Linked DNA regions of Saccharomyces cerevisiae S288C. The protein of the gene in region 1 binds, or shares a complex with, the protein of each later gene. Each region holds a gene or a part of one and is shown in the gene's direction. Other genes may lie near its edges.

The links.
Region 2: the proteins of POL12 (region 1) and POL1 are in contact, whole or in part, in a cryo-EM structure (PDB 8FOC), measured with the Saccharomyces cerevisiae proteins. Residues at the interface, in NP_009518.1 of Saccharomyces cerevisiae: Arg248 (codon at 2,375), Thr249 (codon at 2,378), Met250 (codon at 2,381), Arg251 (codon at 2,384), Gln252 (codon at 2,387), Asn253 (codon at 2,390), Leu254 (codon at 2,393), Gln255 (codon at 2,396), Ala257 (codon at 2,402), Ser258 (codon at 2,405), Leu261 (codon at 2,414), Asp262 (codon at 2,417), Ile265 (codon at 2,426), Asn281 (codon at 2,474), Phe283 (codon at 2,480), Ala284 (codon at 2,483), Gln289 (codon at 2,498), Gln291 (codon at 2,504), Ser292 (codon at 2,507), Glu293 (codon at 2,510), Arg299 (codon at 2,528), Val301 (codon at 2,534), Pro302 (codon at 2,537), Pro305 (codon at 2,546), Thr306 (codon at 2,549), Asp308 (codon at 2,555), Asn312 (codon at 2,567), Glu319 (codon at 2,588), Thr320 (codon at 2,591), Ser321 (codon at 2,594); in NP_014297.3 of Saccharomyces cerevisiae: Met547 (codon at 3,599), Lys550 (codon at 3,608), Asn552 (codon at 3,614), Lys553 (codon at 3,617), Gln554 (codon at 3,620), Asn642 (codon at 3,884), Val643 (codon at 3,887), His650 (codon at 3,908), Gly676 (codon at 3,986), Asn681 (codon at 4,001), Ser1134 (codon at 5,360), Ala1139 (codon at 5,375), Pro1141 (codon at 5,381), Gly1142 (codon at 5,384), Ser1286 (codon at 5,816), Pro1288 (codon at 5,822), Ser1289 (codon at 5,825), Asp1291 (codon at 5,831), Pro1323 (codon at 5,927), Leu1324 (codon at 5,930), Gln1325 (codon at 5,933), Thr1327 (codon at 5,939), Ser1328 (codon at 5,942), Gln1329 (codon at 5,945), Glu1331 (codon at 5,951), His1332 (codon at 5,954), Arg1335 (codon at 5,963), Ala1336 (codon at 5,966), Ile1338 (codon at 5,972), Ser1339 (codon at 5,975).

Annotation. Positions count from the first base shown.
Region 1 is NC_001134.8:150,771-155,243, reverse strand, and holds POL12 (DNA-directed DNA polymerase alpha subunit POL12), read left to right. Parts: upstream 1-1,633; coding exon 1,634-3,751; downstream 3,752-4,473. Other genes in the region: STU1 (Stu1p), read left to right, coding at 1-1,396; YBL036C (pyridoxal phosphate homeostasis protein), read left to right, coding at 4,024-4,473. UniProt on the Saccharomyces cerevisiae protein: Non-catalytic component of DNA polymerase alpha, which in a complex with DNA primase (DNA polymerase alpha:primase) constitutes a replicative polymerase.
Region 2 is NC_001146.8:428,127-435,272, forward strand, and holds POL1 (DNA-directed DNA polymerase alpha catalytic subunit POL1), read left to right. Parts: upstream 1-1,960; coding exon 1,961-6,367; downstream 6,368-7,146. Other genes in the region: MET4 (Met4p), read left to right, coding at 1-1,627; AVT4 (Avt4p), read left to right, coding at 6,873-7,146. UniProt on the Saccharomyces cerevisiae protein: Catalytic component of DNA polymerase alpha, which in complex with DNA primase (DNA polymerase alpha:primase) constitutes a replicative polymerase. POL1 has a role in promoting telomere replication during interaction with CDC13.

The DNA of each region.
Region 1 (4,473 bases):
GTTGAAGAATAACGTTGGAAAAAGAACATCAAGCACAGACAGCGTAGTTATTCATGATGATAATGACAAAGATAAAAAGCTTTCAGAAATGACGAAAATAGTAAGTGTTTATCAACTGGACCAGCCAAACCCAGCAAAGGAGGAAGATGATATAGATATGGAAAATTCTCAAAAATCTGATTTGAATTTAAGTGAAATTTTTCAAAACAGTGGTGAAAATACCGAAAGGAAATTGAAGGACGATAATGAACCAACAGTAAAATTCAGTACAGATCCTCCAAAGATAATAAATGAGCCAGAAAAACTTATTGGAAATGGGAATGAGAATGAAAAGCCTGATTTGGAAACAATGTCACCAATCAAAATAAACGGGGACGAGAATATGGGTCAAAAGCAAAGGATCACAGTAAAGAGAGAAAGAGACGTAGCACTAACTGAACAAGACATAAACTCCAAAAAGATGAAACTAGTTAATAACAAAAAATCAGAGAAGATGCATTTGCTTATCATGGATAATTTCCCAAGGGATTCCTTGACTGTATATGAAATTAGTCATCTTTTAATGGTTGATTCTAATGGCAACACTTTGATGGATTTTGATGTCTATTTCAATCACATGTCAAAGGCAATAAACAGGATAAAAAGTGGATCGTTCACTATGAAACATATAAATTACCTGATCGAACCCTTGATTACTTGTTTTCAAAATCAAAAAATGACCGATTGGTTGACGAATGAAAATGGTTTTGATGAACTACTGGATGTTGCTATTATGCTTTTGAAATCTACTGATGACACGCCTTCAATTCCATCAAAAATATCCAGTAAGTCCATAATTCTCGTTCATTGTCTTTTGGTTTGGAAAAAGTTTCTAAATACACTAAGCGAGAATGCCGACGATGATGGCGTTTCGGTGAGAATGTGTTTCGAAGAAGTATGGGAACAGATCCTTTTAATGCTTAATAAATTTTCTGATTATGGAAACGAAATCTATAAATTAGCGCAAGAGTTCAGGGACAGTCTAATGTTATCGCACTTTTTCAAAAAACATTCGGCAACAAGAATTCTAAGCATGTTGGTTACTGAAATTCAGCCTGACACCGCTGGTGTGAAAGAAACATTTTTAATTGAGACCTTATGGAAGATGCTGCAATCTCCTACCATTTGCCAACAATTCAAGAAATCTAATATATCAGAGATTATCCAAACAATGAGCTATTTCATTATGGGGACTGATAATACTTCGTGGAACTTCACCAGTGCCGTGGTATTAGCTCGTTGTTTGAGAGTCCTCCAAACTACTCCAGATTATACTGAGCAAGAAACCGAACGATTATTCGATTGTTTGCCTAAGAATGTCTTTAAAATGATCATGTTCATCGCCTCAAACGAATAGAGAATAGCGTGGTAGACGCGTAATTTTTTTTTACCGTGACGCGTCTCACCAGAGTTTCTTAGTTCTTTCTCTTTTCTAAAACTGTAATAATATGAGCTCTTTGTAGACACATATAACATTTTGTTTCATATACATAATATATTTGCATATAAAAATATCAAGATAATTGATTGTCAATTGGTTCAACAAAGCTTGAAGGTAAATTTAGGCAGGAGCAAGTGACTGAAAAAAAAAAAAATGAGCGGATCTATCGATGTCATCACTCATTTTGGGCCTGATGCAGACAAGCCGGAAATCATCACTGCATTAGAGAATTTAACTAAACTGCATGCATTGTCCGTCGAGGATCTATACATTAAATGGGAGCAGTTCTCCAATCAAAGGCGTCAAACTCACACAGATCTGACTTCCAAGAACATAGATGAGTTTAAACAATTTTTACAATTACAAATGGAAAAGCGTGCTAACCAAATTTCATCGTCCTCTAAGGTAAACACATCCACAAAAAAACCAGTGATTAAAAAAAGTTTGAATTCAAGTCCCTTGTTTGGCCTTAGTATTCCAAAGACTCCGACTTTAAAAAAAAGAAAGTTACATGGTCCCTTTTCACTCAGTGATTCCAAGCAAACATATAATGTAGGCTCTGAGGCAGAAACAAATGAAAAAGGAAATAGTTCTTTAAAATTGGAGTTTACTCCAGGCATGGCAGAAGATGCTGTGGGTGACAGTGCTCCATTGTCCCACGCTAAAAGCTCGGATGCCAAGACTCCCGGCTCGTCGACATTCCAAACTCCAACAACAAACACTCCTACCACATCGAGGCAAAATGTTCCTGCTGGTGAAATTTTGGATTCTTTGAACCCTGAAAATATTGAAATATCATCTGGTAATCCAAATGTAGGCCTTCTTTCGACTGAAGAACCATCATATAACCAGGTCAAAGTAGAACCATTTTATGATGCTAAAAAGTATAAATTCAGAACAATGAGGCAAAACTTACAGGAAGCGTCTGATGTCCTCGATGATCAAATTGAATCGTTTACTAAGATTATTCAAAATCACTATAAGTTATCTCCAAACGACTTCGCTGATCCAACTATTCAATCTCAGTCCGAAATTTATGCTGTTGGAAGGATAGTTCCAGATTCGCCGACCTACGACAAGTTTTTGAATCCAGAATCGCTTTCCCTAGAGACCTCAAGAATGGGCGGCGTTGGAAGAAGGGTAAGGTTAGATCTATCGCAGGTCAACGAGCTTTCGTTTTTCTTAGGCCAAATTGTGGCATTCAAAGGTAAAAATGCTAATGGGGATTACTTCACCGTTAACTCTATTTTGCCGCTACCTTATCCAAACTCCCCAGTGTCCACATCGCAGGAACTGCAGGAGTTTCAAGCAAATTTGGAAGGTTCTTCTTTGAAGGTTATCGTGACCTGTGGCCCATACTTTGCAAATGATAACTTCTCCCTCGAATTGTTGCAAGAATTTATCGATAGTATAAATAATGAGGTAAAACCTCACGTCTTGATAATGTTTGGCCCATTTATAGATATCACCCATCCTCTGATAGCGAGTGGTAAATTGCCAAATTTTCCCCAGTTCAAGACACAGCCCAAAACATTGGACGAGCTTTTTTTGAAGTTATTTACTCCTATTCTAAAAACCATATCACCACATATCCAAACCGTATTGATACCCTCCACAAAAGATGCAATTTCTAATCACGCCGCATATCCACAAGCTTCTTTAATTAGAAAGGCTTTACAGCTGCCTAAAAGGAACTTCAAATGCATGGCTAATCCTTCATCTTTTCAAATAAATGAGATATACTTCGGTTGCTCAAACGTTGATACATTCAAAGATCTAAAGGAAGTCATAAAAGGCGGTACTACCTCATCAAGATATAGATTAGATCGTGTTTCTGAGCATATTTTACAACAGCGCAGGTATTACCCCATATTTCCAGGTAGTATTCGTACAAGAATAAAACCAAAAGACGTATCTACGAAGAAGGAAACCAATGATATGGAAAGCAAAGAAGAAAAAGTTTATGAACATATATCTGGTGCAGATTTAGACGTGAGTTATCTGGGACTAACAGAGTTTGTTGGTGGGTTCTCGCCTGACATAATGATTATACCCAGTGAATTACAACACTTTGCAAGAGTTGTCCAAAACGTAGTTGTTATAAATCCCGGAAGATTTATTAGAGCAACAGGTAACAGGGGATCCTATGCACAAATTACTGTCCAATGCCCTGATCTTGAAGACGGGAAATTGACGCTTGTTGAAGGTGAAGAGCCAGTTTATCTACACAACGTGTGGAAGCGCGCTAGAGTTGACTTGATTGCTAGTTGATATATTTAATTCAAACTTAACTAATGGAATAGCTCAAGGTAGCACCAAAAAGTATTGTTATACACCTGAACTATCGACCTTGAAACTGGCTCTATAACTTACTTATTGATTAAAGACCATAACATGATCAGTATCCGGGTAATAAAGTAACGTGATCAGAGGCCAGAGAAAATGTTCATAAGTAGAGACTACTCTTAAATGCATAATAAAAAAAAAAACTGATAGGCATCACTCTTTCCTTTTTGACTAAGATTCCAGCATCACATTGCAATATGTCCACTGGTATTACTTATGATGAAGATAGAAAGACACAATTAATTGCCCAATACGAATCTGTAAGGGAAGTTGTGAATGCAGAGGCAAAAAATGTTCATGTTAATGAAAATGCCTCCAAAATTTTATTATTGGTTGTTTCGAAATTGAAACCAGCTAGCGATATACAAATTCTTTACGACCATGGTGTGAGGGAGTTCGGGGAAAACTATGTTCAAGAGTTGATCGAAAAGGCAAAATTACTACCAGACGATATCAAGTGGCACTTTATTGGCGGTTTGCAAACGAATAAATGTAAAGATTTGGCTAAAGTGCCAAATTTATACTCTGTTGAAACAATCGACTCCTTGAAGAAAGCCAAAAAATTAAACGAATCGAGGGCTAAATTTCAACCAGATTGCAACCCAATATTGTGTAATGTTCAAATTAATACCTCCCATGAGGATCAA
Region 2 (7,146 bases), on another chromosome or scaffold:
CAGCATAAATGCAAATCCTTTTGACTTGGATGAACAACTAGCCATTGAGTTGAGTGCGTTTGCCGACGATTCTTTCATCTTCCCAGACGAGGATAAGCCGAGCAATAACAATAACAACAGCAATAATGGTAATGACGACCATAGCAACCACGACGTATTGCATGAGGACCCTTCTACCAATAATAGACAAAGAAATCCTCACTTCTTGACTCAAAGAAGGAATACTTTCCTAACTTCCCAATACGACCAATCAAAGTCTCGATTTTCGTCCAAAAACAAAAGAAATGGCAATAACGGCGAAACAAACAACTTTGGCGACAATATGCAAAATAACCATCCTTTTGAGCCAAACTTTATGGGAAGCCCTTCTCAGTTTCCCGCTGACGCAACTAATATGACATCAATCGACCATGGCGGCTTCACAAATGTTGACATTACATCAACTGAGAACAATACTACCGGTGACAATGGAGTGGATGCGCTATCAAATCTACTACATAGGACAACACACACACCGAACCGCTCCTCCCCCCTAAGCAATGTCACTTCTGCTCAAAATTCCTCTTCACAACAACGAAAACATTCGGAAAGCAAAGTCGATAGTAACAGCGATAATAACAGCTCCAACAAAGCCCCCAATATAACTGTTCCTGACTATTCAATTATACCAACCTCTGTTTTAGTAACTCTATTACCGAGGGTCAACGTGCCCAACGGCGCATATAACTCGTTGATCAGCGCGGGATTTGACAATGATCAAATAGATGCTATAGCCGCAATAATGGCGTATCATCATCAAAAAAAGATTAGGGAAAATAACAGTAATAATAATAAAAACATCAACACCAATGACAGTCAAGAGGCACCCATTCTAAAAAACATCAACGAACTTTTAAGTGTCTTAATACCACCCTCTCCGGCTGAAACTGCTGCGCCAACTACCTTATCAACGTCGCCTTCGTTCAATGAGCACGGTGTAGTAGCAGAGGCTTCTTTTCTAAGCTCCATTTTGGAACTGGGCATAAAGCATCCAAAAAGTAATAATATTCACAATCAACGACAACCTTCACGAAACGATCATAAAATATCAAGAGAGAGTGACGGTAACAATGGAAACGATAATGTCCATCATAATAACGCTGTTATTAAGTCAAGTACGACGCGTGGAGACGAAATTGCCAAGATACGATCCGAGCCAACTTTAAATGCAAGTTCTTCTGATCACAAGGAAAATAGTTTAAAAAGATCACACTCCGGAGATTTGAAAAATAAAAAAGTACCCGTCGACCGCAAGTATTCTGATAATGAAGACGATGAATATGACGATGCAGATTTACACGGCTTTGAAAAGAAGCAACTGATCAAGAAAGAGTTAGGGGACGACGATGAAGATTTATTGATACAGTCGAAAAAATCTCATCAAAAAAAAAAACTAAAGGAAAAGGAGTTAGAATCATCGATACATGAACTGACCGAAATTGCAGCATCCTTACAAAAACGGATACATACGTTAGAAACGGAAAACAAGCTTTTAAAGAATTTAGTTCTGAGTAGCGGTGAAACGGAAGGAATAAAAAAAGCTGAAAGCTTAAAGAAGCAAATTTTTGAGAAGGTTCAGAAAGAATAAAATAACAGACTATACAGTTTAATTATATATATATATATATATACGTGCATTTTTCTTAAAGAAATATAACTTTTTTCTTGTACTGCCTGCAATCTCTATTCTTCATTCATCACACATCTATTCAAACGCGTTAAAATTTTTTTGTTAGCCTATAAGTAAAACGCGTCGCGTGTATCCAATTTTACTGAATTAAATTCTTTACTCATTGGATGATATATATCTTCTTGGTCTAGACAACGAACACATACCAATTCAGACTCACGAGAAAAAAAACTGTCTTCACTCTGCTATTAGAAACCAAATAGTATCAAGGCATAAAATAAACAGTGGAAAATGTCTTCTAAAAGTGAAAAATTAGAAAAATTGAGAAAGCTGCAAGCCGCTCGAAATGGTACATCCATCGATGATTACGAAGGTGACGAATCAGATGGTGACAGAATATACGACGAAATCGACGAAAAAGAATACAGGGCCAGAAAGCGCCAGGAATTGCTGCATGACGATTTTGTTGTAGATGACGATGGTGTAGGCTACGTCGATCGTGGTGTCGAAGAAGATTGGAGGGAAGTTGATAACAGTTCAAGTGATGAAGACACTGGAAACCTTGCTAGCAAGGATTCTAAAAGGAAGAAGAATATAAAAAGGGAGAAAGACCACCAGATTACAGATATGCTGCGAACTCAACATTCCAAATCAACACTGCTAGCACATGCAAAAAAATCCCAAAAAAAAAGTATCCCCATCGATAATTTTGATGACATTCTTGGTGAGTTTGAATCTGGTGAAGTAGAAAAACCCAATATTTTACTGCCATCCAAATTAAGGGAAAATTTAAATTCTTCGCCGACTAGTGAATTTAAATCGTCAATAAAGAGAGTTAACGGAAACGATGAGTCAAGTCATGATGCCGGTATTTCTAAAAAAGTCAAGATTGATCCAGATTCAAGTACTGATAAATATTTAGAAATCGAATCATCACCGTTAAAATTACAAAGCAGGAAACTGCGCTACGCAAATGATGTACAGGATTTATTGGATGATGTGGAAAATTCCCCAGTAGTAGCCACAAAGAGACAGAATGTACTTCAAGATACGTTACTAGCAAATCCACCATCCGCTCAAAGTTTGGCTGATGAAGAAGATGATGAAGATAGTGATGAAGATATTATTCTGAAAAGAAGAACTATGAGAAGTGTGACAACAACTAGACGCGTGAATATAGACTCAAGAAGTAACCCTTCAACTTCACCGTTTGTCACAGCACCCGGAACGCCAATCGGTATTAAAGGACTAACTCCAAGTAAATCTTTGCAGAGCAACACCGATGTTGCTACACTTGCGGTTAATGTCAAAAAGGAAGATGTGGTAGATCCGGAAACTGATACTTTCCAAATGTTTTGGTTGGATTACTGTGAAGTGAACAACACTTTGATTTTATTTGGTAAGGTTAAACTAAAGGATGATAATTGTGTGTCAGCCATGGTTCAAATCAACGGTCTCTGTAGAGAGCTATTTTTCCTTCCAAGAGAGGGTAAAACACCTACCGATATACACGAGGAAATAATTCCGTTACTGATGGATAAATATGGACTGGATAATATCCGCGCTAAACCTCAAAAAATGAAATATTCGTTTGAGCTTCCTGACATTCCATCTGAAAGTGATTATTTGAAAGTCTTACTTCCATACCAAACACCGAAGTCCAGTCGAGACACCATTCCATCGGATTTATCTAGCGATACCTTTTATCATGTTTTTGGTGGGAATTCCAATATTTTTGAAAGTTTTGTTATTCAAAATAGGATTATGGGACCATGCTGGTTAGATATAAAGGGAGCAGATTTCAATTCAATTCGTAATGCTTCTCACTGTGCGGTTGAAGTTTCGGTAGATAAGCCTCAGAATATCACGCCTACTACAACAAAGACAATGCCTAATCTGAGATGTCTATCTTTATCGATTCAGACGTTAATGAATCCCAAGGAAAATAAGCAAGAGATTGTTTCGATAACGTTATCAGCATATAGAAATATCTCGTTGGATTCACCGATACCTGAAAATATAAAACCAGACGACTTGTGTACTTTAGTAAGGCCGCCTCAGTCAACTAGTTTCCCATTAGGTTTAGCTGCACTGGCAAAACAGAAACTACCCGGTAGAGTCAGGTTGTTCAACAACGAAAAGGCCATGCTATCTTGTTTTTGTGCTATGTTAAAAGTGGAAGACCCAGATGTTATCATAGGCCATCGTTTGCAAAATGTCTACTTAGATGTTTTAGCTCATAGAATGCATGATCTCAACATTCCAACGTTCAGCTCTATTGGCCGTCGTTTAAGAAGGACTTGGCCTGAAAAATTCGGTAGAGGAAATTCGAATATGAACCATTTTTTTATTAGTGACATTTGCTCTGGTAGGCTGATATGTGATATCGCCAATGAAATGGGTCAATCATTAACACCCAAATGTCAAAGTTGGGATCTTTCAGAGATGTATCAAGTTACATGTGAAAAGGAGCATAAGCCGTTAGATATTGATTATCAAAATCCACAATACCAAAATGATGTAAATAGTATGACAATGGCCCTACAAGAGAATATTACTAATTGTATGATTTCTGCTGAGGTGTCTTATAGAATTCAATTATTAACCTTGACTAAACAGTTGACAAATTTGGCTGGTAATGCATGGGCCCAAACGCTAGGCGGTACAAGAGCTGGTAGAAATGAGTATATCTTACTACATGAATTTTCAAGAAATGGTTTTATTGTTCCTGACAAAGAAGGCAATAGAAGTAGAGCTCAGAAACAAAGACAAAATGAAGAAAATGCTGATGCACCAGTTAATTCTAAAAAGGCAAAATATCAGGGTGGTTTAGTTTTTGAACCTGAGAAAGGTCTTCATAAGAATTACGTTTTAGTCATGGACTTTAATTCTTTGTATCCATCTATTATCCAGGAATTTAATATATGTTTTACCACCGTTGATAGAAATAAGGAAGATATCGATGAGTTACCAAGCGTACCTCCTTCAGAGGTGGATCAGGGTGTTTTACCAAGGTTATTAGCTAATCTGGTGGATCGTCGACGTGAAGTTAAGAAGGTGATGAAAACTGAAACTGATCCCCATAAGCGAGTTCAATGTGATATTCGTCAACAAGCTCTAAAATTGACTGCCAATTCTATGTATGGTTGTTTGGGTTATGTTAACAGTAGATTTTACGCAAAGCCGCTCGCCATGTTAGTCACTAATAAGGGTCGTGAGATTTTAATGAATACAAGACAACTAGCTGAAAGTATGAATCTTCTTGTAGTTTATGGTGATACAGATTCGGTCATGATAGATACCGGTTGTGATAATTATGCGGATGCAATTAAAATTGGCTTGGGATTTAAAAGGCTAGTAAATGAGCGCTATAGATTATTGGAGATTGATATTGATAATGTTTTTAAGAAGTTACTATTACATGCCAAGAAAAAGTACGCTGCTTTGACTGTAAATTTGGACAAAAATGGTAATGGAACTACTGTTCTAGAAGTTAAAGGGTTGGACATGAAGCGTCGTGAATTTTGTCCACTTTCGAGGGACGTTTCTATACATGTTTTAAACACCATCCTGTCAGATAAGGACCCAGAAGAAGCATTGCAAGAAGTGTATGATTACTTAGAAGACATCAGAATAAAAGTGGAAACCAATAACATTAGAATTGATAAATATAAGATCAATATGAAGCTTTCAAAAGATCCCAAGGCCTACCCAGGTGGTAAAAACATGCCTGCAGTCCAAGTAGCTCTAAGAATGCGTAAGGCTGGTAGAGTTGTTAAAGCTGGCTCTGTCATCACTTTTGTGATCACAAAGCAGGATGAAATAGACAATGCAGCGGATACGCCGGCTCTTTCTGTGGCTGAACGTGCCCATGCATTGAATGAGGTAATGATTAAAAGTAACAATTTGATACCTGATCCACAATATTATCTCGAGAAACAAATATTCGCGCCGGTAGAAAGGTTGTTAGAAAGAATTGATAGCTTCAACGTGGTGCGTTTGAGTGAAGCGCTTGGTTTAGATAGTAAAAAGTATTTTAGAAGAGAGGGCGGTAATAACAATGGAGAAGATATTAATAATTTGCAACCCTTAGAAACAACAATTACAGACGTTGAAAGGTTTAAGGATACTGTAACATTAGAATTAAGTTGCCCATCATGCGATAAAAGGTTTCCATTTGGTGGTATTGTATCTTCAAATTACTATCGCGTGTCATATAATGGTTTACAGTGCAAGCATTGTGAGCAACTTTTTACTCCTCTTCAATTAACTAGCCAAATAGAGCATTCTATAAGGGCACACATTTCCTTATATTACGCAGGGTGGTTACAGTGTGATGACAGCACATGCGGTATAGTTACAAGACAAGTCTCCGTTTTTGGTAAGCGTTGTTTGAATGACGGCTGCACGGGTGTCATGAGATACAAATACAGTGACAAGCAATTGTACAATCAACTTTTATATTTCGATTCTTTATTCGATTGTGAAAAAAATAAAAAGCAAGAATTGAAGCCAATATATCTACCCGATGATCTCGACTACCCCAAGGAACAGCTGACAGAATCATCTATTAAGGCTTTAACAGAACAAAACAGAGAACTAATGGAAACCGGCCGGAGCGTTGTTCAAAAATATTTGAACGATTGTGGACGTCGCTACGTTGATATGACTAGCATATTTGATTTCATGCTAAATTAGGTAAGTATTTTGTATGTGTTGTGTGATCTCATGAATATTCTATATAGTAAGAAAAGAATACAACTGTACATACGCATCCTACTAGATACCTAATGTACAGACATCGGAAGGAGCGCTAGGAAGCTTTTATTATTGAAGGTTTTCAGCGATATTCTGAGAATGTTTTTTCGGCTCTGGTGATCAGTTCTCACATGCATCATCCTTTAATAAACCCATGCATTAAGATTCGCCTTATCAGCAAGATCAGATAAGCGAACAGCTTCATCAATGAAATAGAATGCTTAAATCTTGTGAAGCACTGTCATAAGCCAGTTTGATAAAAGCAATACCCACAATATAGTTGGATATCATTTACCTTGATCTGCTCTTGCTTTCGAGGTGACATAGCATTTTTAGCCATCTGATTCCTTAGGTTCAAAGGCACTCATCATTCCTCCTCTAAAACACATTTCAACGTCATTCATAATCTGGAATCAACATAACAATATCCTAGAACACATCATCAATGGTCACTAACAATGGAGATGGTGAGCACCTTGGGATCCGAAGAAACGGAAATTTAAGGCATCCTTCCAATAATATGAAAATTCCCAGAAGGGCTCAATCAACAGTTCTCAATTCAAACCCATTTTATAGTAGGAAGTATTCTATGTCTACCTTAACGCCGAGGGATATATGTCGAAGCGTTGATTCTAGAGTATTTGTGGATATGTCTTCTCCCAATTTTCAGACTCTGGAGGATCCCCACAGAGATGAGATTATAAACAGTGTACGGCTTA